Arabidopsis thaliana: one gene and its partner. The protein of the gene in region 2 purifies or fractionates together with the protein of the main gene of each other region. This does not show direct contact. Each region holds a gene or a part of one and is shown on either strand. Other genes may lie near its edges.

Evidence for each region. The genes of interacting proteins can lie anywhere in the genome.
Region 1: the proteins of AACT1 (region 2) and ALDH6B2 fractionate together in Arabidopsis thaliana (co-fractionation; one large-scale study listed by BioGRID). This does not show direct contact.

Annotation. Positions count from the first base shown.
Region 1 is NC_003071.7:5,976,769-5,983,665, reverse strand, and holds ALDH6B2 (aldehyde dehydrogenase 6B2), read left to right. Parts: upstream 1-1,766; coding exon 1,767-2,004; intron 2,005-2,049; exon of another isoform or gene 2,050-2,087; coding exon 2,088-2,185; intron 2,186-2,259; coding exon 2,260-2,331; intron 2,332-2,419; coding exon 2,420-2,581; intron 2,582-2,649; coding exon 2,650-2,728; intron 2,729-2,824; coding exon 2,825-2,979; intron 2,980-3,085; coding exon 3,086-3,149; intron 3,150-3,411; coding exon 3,412-3,491; intron 3,492-3,684; coding exon 3,685-3,750; intron 3,751-4,008; coding exon 4,009-4,059; intron 4,060-4,148; coding exon 4,149-4,300; intron 4,301-4,588; coding exon 4,589-4,679; intron 4,680-4,790; coding exon 4,791-4,871; intron 4,872-5,071; coding exon 5,072-5,149; intron 5,150-5,218; coding exon 5,219-5,254; intron 5,255-5,346; coding exon 5,347-5,390; intron 5,391-5,477; coding exon 5,478-5,556; intron 5,557-5,653; coding exon 5,654-5,744; coding exon of another isoform or gene 5,745-5,815; exon of another isoform or gene 5,816-5,832; coding exon 5,833-5,939; and 2 more. Other genes in the region: AT2G14160 (RNA-binding (RRM/RBD/RNP motifs) family protein), read left to right, coding at 6,865-6,897.
Region 2 is NC_003076.8:19,329,905-19,334,791, forward strand, and holds AACT1 (Thiolase family protein), read left to right. Parts: upstream 1-1,642; 5' UTR 1,643-1,750; exon of another isoform or gene 1,751-1,834; 5' UTR 1,835-1,857; coding exon 1,858-1,897; exon of another isoform or gene 1,898-1,961; coding exon of another isoform or gene 1,962-2,022; coding exon 2,023-2,121; intron 2,122-2,201; coding exon 2,202-2,375; intron 2,376-2,463; coding exon 2,464-2,569; intron 2,570-2,677; coding exon 2,678-2,816; intron 2,817-2,939; coding exon 2,940-3,017; intron 3,018-3,099; coding exon 3,100-3,165; intron 3,166-3,238; coding exon 3,239-3,324; intron 3,325-3,432; coding exon 3,433-3,643; intron 3,644-3,730; coding exon 3,731-3,772; intron 3,773-3,852; coding exon 3,853-3,939; intron 3,940-4,015; coding exon 4,016-4,101; coding exon of another isoform or gene 4,102-4,105; exon of another isoform or gene 4,106-4,123; intron 4,124-4,207; coding exon 4,208-4,241; 3' UTR 4,242-4,373; downstream 4,374-4,887. Other genes in the region: AT5G47710 (Calcium-dependent lipid-binding (CaLB domain) family protein), read left to right, coding at 566-676, 806-901, 981-1,274; AT5G47730 (Sec14p-like phosphatidylinositol transfer family protein), read right to left, coding at 4,688-4,887. UniProt on the Arabidopsis thaliana protein: Catalyzes the condensation of two molecules of acetyl-CoA to produce acetoacetyl-CoA.

The DNA of each region.
Region 1 (6,897 bases), on a different chromosome or scaffold from region 2:
TAGTACATAATCTTTATTACAACAAACAATACAATTCTCTCTATTATTCTCTAAAACAATCTTCCTTTTCTCCAAAAAAATATTTCTTTTCTCCAAAACAATCTTCCTTTTCACCAAACAATCTTCTTTTTCTCCAAACATTTATCTTCATAGTTCATCAAACATGAGATCTTCTTCATCTTATAATCTTGACGATAAGTTTGATCAATTTTTCAATGAAACATTATAGAGATATGTTGATCGTCAACCAACCAAGTCAACAAAAATGAGCATATATTGCAAGAGATCGTGAACTAGGACACATCCAGTTGTAGAACGATTATTTCAAAGAAGATGCGACATTCCCTCCTCATATATTGTGACACCGATTTAGAATGAACAAGCCATTGTTTATACGTATTGTTGACGGACTCTCCAATGAAATTTCATGCTTTGAACAAAGAAGAGATGTTATCGGCAGGTTAGGTTTATCGGCACTACGAAGTGTACAACAACAATTCATATGATTGCATATGGTTGTTCAGTGGATGCGGTTGACGAATACCTACAGATTGTGAAAGCACTTCGATATCATGTATGATACATTTTGTTGAATGAATTATATATTTGTTTGGGAAAGAGTATCTAAGTAGACCTACACGACAAGATCTTAAACGACTACTCCGTATTGGAGAGGTACATGAATTTTTTGGGATGATAGGAAGCATCGATTGTATGCACTGGAAGTGGAAGAATTGCCCCACCTTTTGGAAAGGATAATATACACGTGTATCTGGCAAACCGGCAATAGTGTTAAAGGCTATTGCTTTCCAAGATCTTTGGATATGACATACTTTTTTTGGACCTCCAGATTTCTTAAATGATATATATACTTGATTGCTTACCAGTTTTTGATGATAAATTACAAGGTCGAGCTCCAAAAGTGAAATATATCGTCAACTGGACCTACTATCATTTGGTTTATTATCTCACTGATAGAATTTATCCTAAATGGGCTACATTTATCCAATCTATTTCAATTCCACAAGGTCACAAAGATTCTTTATTTGTTACAAATTAAGAAGCTTGTTGTCAAAATGGTTAACGTGCTTTGGGAGTTTTGCAAACTTGGTTTGTAATTGTCAATCCAGCTCTTATTTGGGATAAGAAAAAAATAGGAATGATCATGCGAGCATGCATAATACTTCCCAATATGATAGTAGAGGATGAACAAGATAAGTACATTCAGTTTGATGCAGCTGAATTCACACAACCAAAATCAACCAGCTCTTTACAAATGGATTTCAACTATTTTACAGATATGCTTTCAAATCTCGGCAATATTATGGCCGCTCGAGCCCGAGTTCGTGATCTGGCTATACATCCACAATTGAAAGCTAATTTGGTTAAGCATATATAACAAACATTTGGCGGGAATTAAGCTAACAATTAATCGTTATTCTGATTTTCGATTTTCGTATTTTATATATGCTTTTATGTCATGTATCTTTAAAATTGGTGTATTTGCAATAACTATTCAGTTTTATAAAATAAAATATTTATAATTTTTATTTTAATAATAATTTTTTTTTAAAAGCCCACTTTTTTCATTAGACAAAAAAAATTTAACAATCTATCCAAAACTCTTAAATTTGAATTTGATAAAATTTATAATTAAAAGATTTGGAAGAGCCCCATAAAAAGCTCTTGGACTTGCTTTTAGTTTTAAAATTGTTAAGGCTAAATATCTTTTTTTTTTTTGTCAACCATGTACATATATCTTGGTGATGGTGAGAGTCAAACAAAAGAATCTTGAATCTTATAGATCTAACGGTACATATCCACCCACGTGGCGAAATCCAACCACTTCATTCGCACCCGATCAACATCGAGTCAGCATTCACTCATCACTCAAATCCAAAACCAAAAGGAGACGCTTATACAAAGAAGCAGACGACAACACCAAACTCCGATCATCATCATCAACAACAACAACAACAACAACGATGCTGCTTCGAATTTCTGGTAAAAATCTCGATTCTCTTGTACTCGAATCAAAATCTGCAGACTTCGATACTATCGAAGCTAGTTTTTGTTACTGTTTTCAGGTAACAATCTGAGACCTTTGAGACCACAATTTCTCGCTCTTCGAAGCTCTTGGTTATCAACTTCGCCGGAGCAATCTACTCAACCACAAATGCCTCCGGTGAGTTCTTAGATCGATTTCGATGTGATTTTTATTCAAAAGTTTTGATTTTTCGATGTGGGTTCTGTTTTCAGAGAGTACCAAATCTTATTGGAGGTTCTTTTGTTGAGTCTCAATCATCTTCGTTTATCGATGTTATAAACCCTGTAAGCAAACTCTCTTATGAGTCCTATACTCTTGTTTGATTACTTAAAGGTTTGAACTTTGAAGTAAATTCTGATTTGCTATTATTAGGCTACACAAGAGGTTGTATCTAAAGTTCCATTGACTACTAATGAAGAGTTTAAAGCTGCGGTATCCGCTGCGAAGCAAGCGTTTCCGTTGTGGAGAAACACGCCGATTACTACCCGGCAGCGTGTTATGCTAAAGTTTCAAGAGCTTATACGCAAGAATATGGTAGCTACCTGGTTTAGTTTGCTATGATCTTGATATGTGCTTGGCTGAAAGTTTTGATTTTTCTGTAGGATAAACTTGCTATGAACATCACAACCGAGCAAGGGAAGACTTTAAAGGATTCACATGGTGATATCTTCCGTGGGTTAGGTTAGTATTTTATTTATGTATTGTAGGTTTGATTATATGATTGACAAGAAGAGGAGAACCTTAGTGCTTATTTTTGGTACATGGTTTCTTACGCAGAGGTTGTGGAGCATGCGTGTGGAATGGCAACCTTACAGATGGGTGAATATCTCCCCAATGTGTCGAACGGAGTTGATACATATAGTATTAGAGAGCCATTAGGTGTTTGTGCTGGCATTTGTCCTTTTAACTTTCCAGCCATGATTCCTTTATGGGTAACATGCTAAGCCCTTTTTTATATGGCTTCATTATGTATATCGTTAATTCTTTGTGATTCTCTTATGTGAATTCTGCGTATTTATTATGTGTTTGTTAGTGCAGATGTTTCCTGTTGCAGTGACATGTGGTAATACCTTTATTCTGAAGCCATCAGAGAAGGATCCCGGTAAAATACCCTTATTCCTTCGAACTATTCCAGTTACTAATAGACACTTCTGTGGTGTTTAATTGATGTATGGGAAGTTCAAGATGTCTTGACTTTCAGATCATGTTGTAACATATCGTTGATGCCAGTGTAGTGAACATGCATTTTACTACCACCGCCAATGTGATGAGCGAAATGTATTGTTGATTGACTGTTTTCCACTATAGCTATAGAGGTCCCTTCTATTGATTGGTTGATTATTGATATTACTTGCTTTCTCCAGGTGCTTCTGTAATACTTGCCGAGTTGGCAATGGAAGCTGGTTTACCTGATGGGGTTCTCAATATCGTTCACGGAACCAATGTAGGTTATGTTTAAACTTTCTGCTCTTTCTAAATTTCTTATTTGTTAGCATTTGAATTGTTAAAGTAAGGATCCCGTCGAGAGATATTATGGTGAATATTCTAGTTTGCAATTAGAGTAACCTAGTTTGTAAAGATTCCGCACTATTACCTTCACTTTCTTTGTTGTCACTGAAAATGCATCTGTTGCACAGGATACTGTGAATGCTATCTGTGATGATGAAGATATAAGGGCTGTTTCTTTTGTTGGCTCCAACACGGTAAGTACTTTTTTTTTTATGTTGCTCTTTTATAGCCTGCAGACTTGGCTTTGCATTTGACCGAGTTATTTACAAATATTCATTTAGTCAGTGTCCTGTGTAATTATTTCAGCTGTCTAATAAAACGTTAATTGTATACAAAATCATACCTTAGATCTTCAAAATCTGTCAATATGGACTGGTAATGGCAGAATTGCTTTTCTTCTGAGCTCAACCTTTTCGTTAAACTTGCGTATTAATGCATTGTTTTGTTTAAAGGCTGGAATGCATATATACGCAAGAGCAGCAGCAAAAGGAAAACGTATTCAGGTAAAGTCTTGCATCTTTTCCCATTTAAAAGTCTTCCTTGCTATTTCGAAACGACACTATGTCAAATTGCTTATAATATATTGACTCAGTCAAATATGGGGGCGAAAAATCATGGACTTGTCTTGCCTGATGCCAACATCGATGCAACTTTAAATGCGCTACTTGCTGCTGGGTTTGGTGCCGCTGGACAGAGATGCATGGCACTGAGTACAGTGGTTTTTGTTGGCGATGCAAAATCATGGTACTGCTTACTTTATATATTCAAATTACTCCAGTTTCTCGAATATCTTATATTTCTTGTGATAAACACATTTTCCTGTAATCTTTTTCTCTCGTACGGTTTCCAGAACCACGCCTTTAGGGTGCTTAAGCCATATATAGGATAGTTAAGATAACACCATTTTCTTTAATTTAGATTGACTATTGTTGTGTCCTAATACTAAATGTAACTGAAGAATATGTATGAGGCCTGTTGATTTTCATTTGACAGTCATGAAAGATTAGCTTTAACTTGTCTAATACTAACCAGGGAGGATAAACTCGTTGAGCGAGCTAAGGCCCTTAAAGTCACATGTGGGTCAGAACCAGATGCAGACCTGGGTCCTGTGATTAGTAAACAGGTATTTTCGCGCACAAACCTCTGAACTTACATGTGTAAAAATTATGTTTAGTTTTGCATTCTGTCTGTTGTTCAATATGTATACGTTATTGTTAAATTTTGATATGACTAGGCGAAAGAACGGATATGCCGGTTGATTCAGTCTGGTGTAGATGATGGTGCTAAATTGCTGCTTGACGGAAGAGATATTGTGGTATTTTCCCATTCTCCATATTTACTGCTATTGCAACAGACTCATGCCTTAAATATAGCACTACCCTCCACATTCTTATCAAATAGTAATCATCAAGAACCGCAGAAATATCTTGATTTAATAATCTTTGTGTAATCTTGAAAACAACGCAAAGATCAACTGGTCCGAGAAGTTTATATGTTTTCTCTTATAACAAACAGGTTCCAGGATATGAGAAAGGGAATTTTATCGGTCCTACCATTCTATCTGGTGTTACCCCAGACATGGAGTGTTACAAGGTATTTTCTGACATTAAGGCAAATGATCCGTACTCTACTTGAATCTTAAAAATTCATTTTTCTTCGCAGGAGGAAATATTTGGCCCTGTTCTTGTGTGCATGCAGGTCAGATTGGAAAACTAGTCTTATATCATTCATTTATTCGTGAATTGTGAGATTAATGCCCTCTGATGCTTTTGTGACATATTCATTTACAGGCAAACAGTTTTGATGAGGCCATATCTATAATAAATAAAAACAAGTAAAACACCCTGTTCTATCATCATCTTAATACTAAAATTTAATCGTCTCATCATCTTCAACAATTTGCTACTTACGCCGTCAACAGGTATGGGAACGGTGCTGCGATTTTCACGTCGTCCGGGGCAGCAGCAAGAAAGTTCCAGATGGACATAGAAGCAGGACAGGTATGAAGAACTTTGGGCCCTATAAAATACAACATTACTTGTATGCATTTGATTACATGTTTGATATCTTCTTTTGTTGTTGTTAATGTTTGCCCAGATCGGTATTAATGTTCCAATCCCGGTTCCATTACCGTTCTTTTCCTTCACCGGGAACAAGGCCTCATTCGCAGGAGATCTTAACTTCTATGGTAAAATTCTTGTCACAACTAAACAAAAGAAGATCCATTCTCCTTTCTCTTTGCTTATATATATACTTTGAGTGAACTATTTTTGCAGGCAAAGCAGGAGTGGACTTTTTCACTCAGATCAAAACTGTTACACAACAGTGGAAAGATATTCCAACTTCAGTATCTCTGGCAATGCCAACGTCTCAAAAGCAATAATGAGACCTTAACTTCAAATACTTTTTTTACTTTTGGATTATCGAATCAGCTTCAAGAAGAACCCTTTGTTTATTTTTCAGCTCTCTAGTATTTTCTCATGCTTAGTTTCCTTCTTTTAATCACTATGGTGACTAGAACTCTAGAAGTAACCATGGGAATAAGAAAAAGTAAAAATCTCAAATTTGCCTAATTTGTCAAATAAAACCCCTAAATGACATTCTTTGAGTCGTAAACTCATAAAAGTCAAAGTGAAACTTATATATACAAGTTATTATGTGTCTTCATTCCCAATTGAAACCCAAAAATCCCTGAATTCAATAAACTCGAATTACGAAATTTTGAGTTTTATTTTGACTGTTTTTTAATTATCATGTAAACAACTCAATCTACATGGACCATGACCAAAGAAAACTGAAACCTTAAACCTATAAAGTAGTATCATTATTTAGTGAAAACTAGTTCCCAAAAAAAATCACTAGTTTAAACCTTATTGTATTTTTTGAACTTTAAGATGTTGTAGACTCATCAAAGTCAAAGTTAACGATCTTTAATTTATTGTGTTTTTTCTTTTCCAATTAAAACCCAAAATTCAATAATCTTTGGATCGAAAATTTGAGTTTTGTTTTGACTGTTTTTCTAATTATCATCTAAACAAACTATACACGACCATGACCAAAAAACATAAACTTTTCGCCTTCCACTATAAAAGTATCATCATTTAGTGTAAACTAGTTCCAAGAAAAAAATACACTTGTTTCAAACCATATTAGAGTTAATAGCATTTATCGATATCATCACATGCATTTACCGCTAACCTTTTTCTATAAATTGACTAAAGTGTCTCTCATTTTATGTCACTCATAAAATTGCTATGTTTTCTACTTAGAAATCACTACTTGTTTTTGAACTCTCTTACTCTTTCAAAATGGCTTCCACAAATGTTGAATTCACGTGCTAT
Region 2 (4,887 bases):
ATTTCTCAGTGAAACACTGAAACTTCCTTTTCAGTTCGTACCGTTCTTCGCTACTTTACTCATTCTTTAGGGTTTCAAGGTTTTCTATTGGTCTTGTTGTAGACTCGAGTAGCTTCTGGGTTCAACCCACAAAGTTTGAGCCTTTTTTGATTTGCAGAGTCCTCTGTGTTTCTTGGTTTGTCTCTTGATCAAGGTCTGCTTGCGATTTTTGTTTCTTTCTCTACCTTACTCGCTAGATAGATGTTTCTGTAGATTGGCAGCATTTGGTCTCTCTGTGTGGTTTTATTATTTACTGATATAAGTGTGAATCTTTCCCAGAATTTCGTTTTCTATATCAAGAAGCTCTCAGAAAATTTTGGGCTTGGCGTAGTTGTTTAGATATATCCTAGCTTCCTAGAGATTGAATGTTGAATGTTGAATGACTAGTACTTCCTTCTCTTTCTCTGTGTCTTGGTTGTCATATTCAACTGATTGTCTAATAAAGACAGTTGCTTTAGCTCTGTTATTCACGAGGATTGTCTCAAGAAGTTTCTAAAGTTGGTAGCATGTGTTTGTAGAATCTGAGATGGGCGAGCCACTAGGACTGCTCCAGGTGACTGTTATTCAAGGAAAGAAACTGGTGATCCGAGATTTCAAGTCAAGTGATCCTTATGTGATTGTCAAATTAGGAAATGAGGTATGTTTGGTCAGTGTTTTTCATTGTTCTTGGCAACTAGAACCAGTGTTTGTGTTTCTACCAAGGAAACAAGTATCTCGTTGTGTTTATTTGTCTGTTGATGTGATGTTTTACTGTTTTGAAAACCAGTCAGCGAAGACCAAAGTGATCAACAATTGCCTGAATCCAGTGTGGAATGAGGAACTGAACTTTACTCTGAAAGATCCTGCAGCAGTTCTCGCATTGGTATGTCTACATCTTCATGAATCTTTCCTTTTGTGACCATCATGATCATGATGCTGAGATTGTTAATGGGGTGGTGCAGGAAGTGTTTGATAAAGATAGGTTCAAGGCAGATGACAAGATGGGCCATGCCTCTCTCAGCCTTCAACCGCTTATCTCAGTTGCCAGACTAAGACACGTAGTCCGCGTGTCCTCTGGTGAGACAACGCTTAGGAAAGTATTACCGGATCCAGAGAACTGCGTATCTCGAGAGAGCACAATCAGTTGCATAGACGGAGAGGTGGTGCAGAGTGTGTGGCTGAGGCTGTGTGCTGTTGAATCGGGTGAGATTGAGTTGAAGATAAAGTTGATTGATCCTCCTGGAACAAACAAGTAGCAATAGGGTATTTTATGTTAGTTTGTAACACGAGACCCGTTTGTGACTAGTATAATTGCAACATCAGTATGGTCTTGTCTTGTTTCCAAGTGTGCCTTTGTGACTACTCACCAATTTATTAGGAATCTTTGAGATACATTGTTCTGCTCTCATCACTTAGCTCTTCCTTATTTTTCTTCTTGTGTGTACATTTTGATGGAAACTCCAGGTAAACTACCATCAATGGCAGATTCTCATAACTCTCTACCTTCTTAATAATAAAACACCTGGAAGAAATTATCTGGCAACAAAGCTATCACGCATACCAAGGTGGTGGTGGAACCGACACTGATATTGGTATCTTACGTCACACACACACTTTGTTGTTATCTCTATATCCACCTTTTTCTTTTTGGCTCAATTATGATCTCTCTCTTTCTCGTTTCCTCGTAATCTTAACACAAGCTTGATCGTCCTCATCTGCCACCAAACCAAAGGTGATGCGTTTTCTTAGCCAAGAACTCAAACTTGTGATATTTCTTTTGATTCTCATCATCTCTGCATTTTCTGAATTGGCTCAGACATAATTTCTTCGGTGACTTCCATGGCTCCGCCTGTCTCTGATGATTCCCTACAGCCTCGAGGTTCTTTCTGTTTCTCCTTCTTCTTTTTGTTCTGTTTCAGTTTCTACTGTTTTCTGGTTGGATCATGTATTTATCCTTTGATCCAGCAGTAATGGCTACTTACAGTTCAGTTCCGGTGTGTGCAGATGTTTGTGTTGTGGGAGTGGCGCGAACGCCTATAGGGGACTTCCTTGGCTCCCTCTCGTCTTTGACTGCTACAAGACTTGGGTCCATAGCCATCCAAGGTAGTTTAGTTATACGACTACTCTCTGTCTCTCTCTCTGCTTCGGCCAAGTTTTCATTCTCTTACTGTTTCTTCTCATAGCCGCACTTAAGAGAGCACATGTTGATCCGGCCCTTGTGGAAGAGGTCTTCTTTGGCAATGTCTTAACTGCCAATCTTGGGCAAGCACCAGCAAGACAGGCTGCACTTGGTGCTGGGATTCCCTATTCTGTGATCTGCACCACTATCAACAAAGTTTGTGCTGCAGGAATGAAATGTAATAACCTTTTATTACTCTTCTTCTACTCCAGATGATCATTCGAACGGTGTATATATCACTGCTTTTACTTCACTTGTAACCTCAGCTGTAATGCTAGCGTCTCAAAGTATCCAGCTCGGCTTGAATGATATTGTTGTTGCTGGTGGGATGGAGAGCATGTCAAACGTACCTAAGTACCTCCCGGACGCAAGGTGCTTTTTGAGTTTCCTAACTCAAACTTGTAGAAACAAACCCAAGAGAGGCATATTCCATCTGTTTTTATCATCTCGTTTATTCTTTACTCTGATTTCTGTTAGCAGAAGGGGTTCTCGATTAGGTCATGATACTGTTGTTGATGGTATGATGAAAGATGGACTTTGGGATGTCTATAATGACTTTGGAATGGGAGTTTGTGGAGAAATATGCGCTGACCAGTACCGTATTACAAGAGAAGAACAGGTCACTCATGTTCAAACTTGATCTGTCTTTCCAGTTTGTTCCCATGGACTCATGACTGATGTGATGATGAGACTGTCTCGCTGATTCTCTATTCCTTGACGTACAAAATTTTTCTCTTTGTAGGATGCTTATGCTATCCAGAGCTTTGAGCGTGGTATTGCTGCGCAAAACACTCAGTTGTTCGCTTGGGAAATTGTTCCGGTACACCTCTCCTTTCCTTGCATTCCAGGAATTCACTTTATGGCATTGTAATGGAATATTGTTCATAAACTCATATTGATAGGTCGAAGTTTCCACTGGAAGAGGGAGGCCTTCAGTTGTTATTGACAAGGATGAAGGATTGGGGAAGGTAAATAGTTTAGGAACCACTGCTTCTCTTGGGATAGCCTTGATTGATCTTAACTTTGTTTGGCATGAACCAGTTTGATGCAGCCAAGTTAAAAAAGCTTAGACCAAGTTTCAAGGAGGATGGGGGATCAGTCACTGCTGGAAATGCATCAAGCATAAGGTCATCTTTTATCTCTCAATTTTGTTTCTTCATTTGTAACTCTGCATGCATTTTGTCTTGTTTACTTCCAACAGCCACTTATTGGCTCTGGTTTACGTTGGTGGACAGTGATGGTGCGGCAGCGTTAGTGCTAGTGAGTGGAGAGAAGGCTCTTGAGCTTGGACTGCATGTTATCGCTAAGATTAGAGGATACGCTGATGCTGCTCAGGCACCAGAGTTATTCACAACCACGCCAGCTCTTGCTATTCCTAAAGCTATAAAGCGGGCTGGTTTGGATGCATCTCAAGTGGATTATTATGAAATAAACGAAGCATTTTCTGTAATCGCACATGCTGAGCTCTCAGTGTTCTATAGTTGTTCGGTATGTATAAAGAGGTCTTGACTGTTCTGGCTTGTTTCCCTACAGGTGGTAGCTCTAGCCAATCAGAAACTACTGGGATTAGATCCTGTAAGTCATGAAACAAGTACAGTTGTGGATGTAGCAGATCTTAATTTTCAGTCTCTGATTATGTATGTATACATAAACAGGAACGGCTCAATGCGCATGGAGGGGCTGTTTCACTGGGACATCCATTGGGCTGTAGCGGTGCTCGTATCTTGGTCACATTATTGGGGGTAAGTCGTAAGATCAAGCGACAATAGTGTTGAAATTAATCCACACTGAAAATGTGGTTGAATACTTCTGATTCAGGTGTTGAGAGCAAAGAAGGGAAAGTATGGAGTGGCATCAATATGCAACGGAGGAGGAGGAGCATCAGCACTTGTCCTTGAGTTCATGTAAGCCCCCTCTTTAACTCTGGTAAGCGTAGCCTTAGCACAAGCAAGAGATTACATGTCAATTAATGCTTCCAACACAATACTTTTAACTTCAACTTGTTGACAGGTCGGAGAAGACAATCGGATATTCGGCACTCTGAAGCTAAGAGCTGTTGTTTTATAACGCAAAGCTTATGTATATGGTTCATGTGTGTGTCACAAGACTGTAACTTTGTACTTGAGAGAGATGCAATAAAAGTGTGTTAGAAAATGAGCGGTAGATTTCCCAAGACAAGTGTGCAATAGCTGTTTCCTAAACTGTTGTTGTTCAGCCAAAGAGCAGATCAAACACCAAAAACACAGATGCTTAGGGAAATGAGAGGTAGATTTCCCACAAATAAATTTGCTACATTAGAGGATCAAATAATACTATACATAAAACCAGAAGTGCATTCAGTTCAAGATTTATTCTCTTCTTTTCGCTTTACATTTGCATGGCTAGGGAGCGGACACAGCTCAGTACTCCCTTACTCATTTGAATTGCTAGCTCACCTGTAAAATATATATCTCAGTTGTGGAGGCACTGAAGGAATTCCCTCAGAAGCATTCAGAGGTCACCATTTGCCAGTGTTTCATGACTGGATTTTCTGTCATCAATGGACACGGCCAGACCGTTGCGGTTCTCAAACTTGTGCAGCTCCGATTCTATGGTTTTGGCTATCACACAACGTTCAGCTTCAGGCTCAGGAAAACCCACGTGGAATGATCCTTGCTTTGCAGGTTCTGCTTGTCCTTGGGTTTCATAAT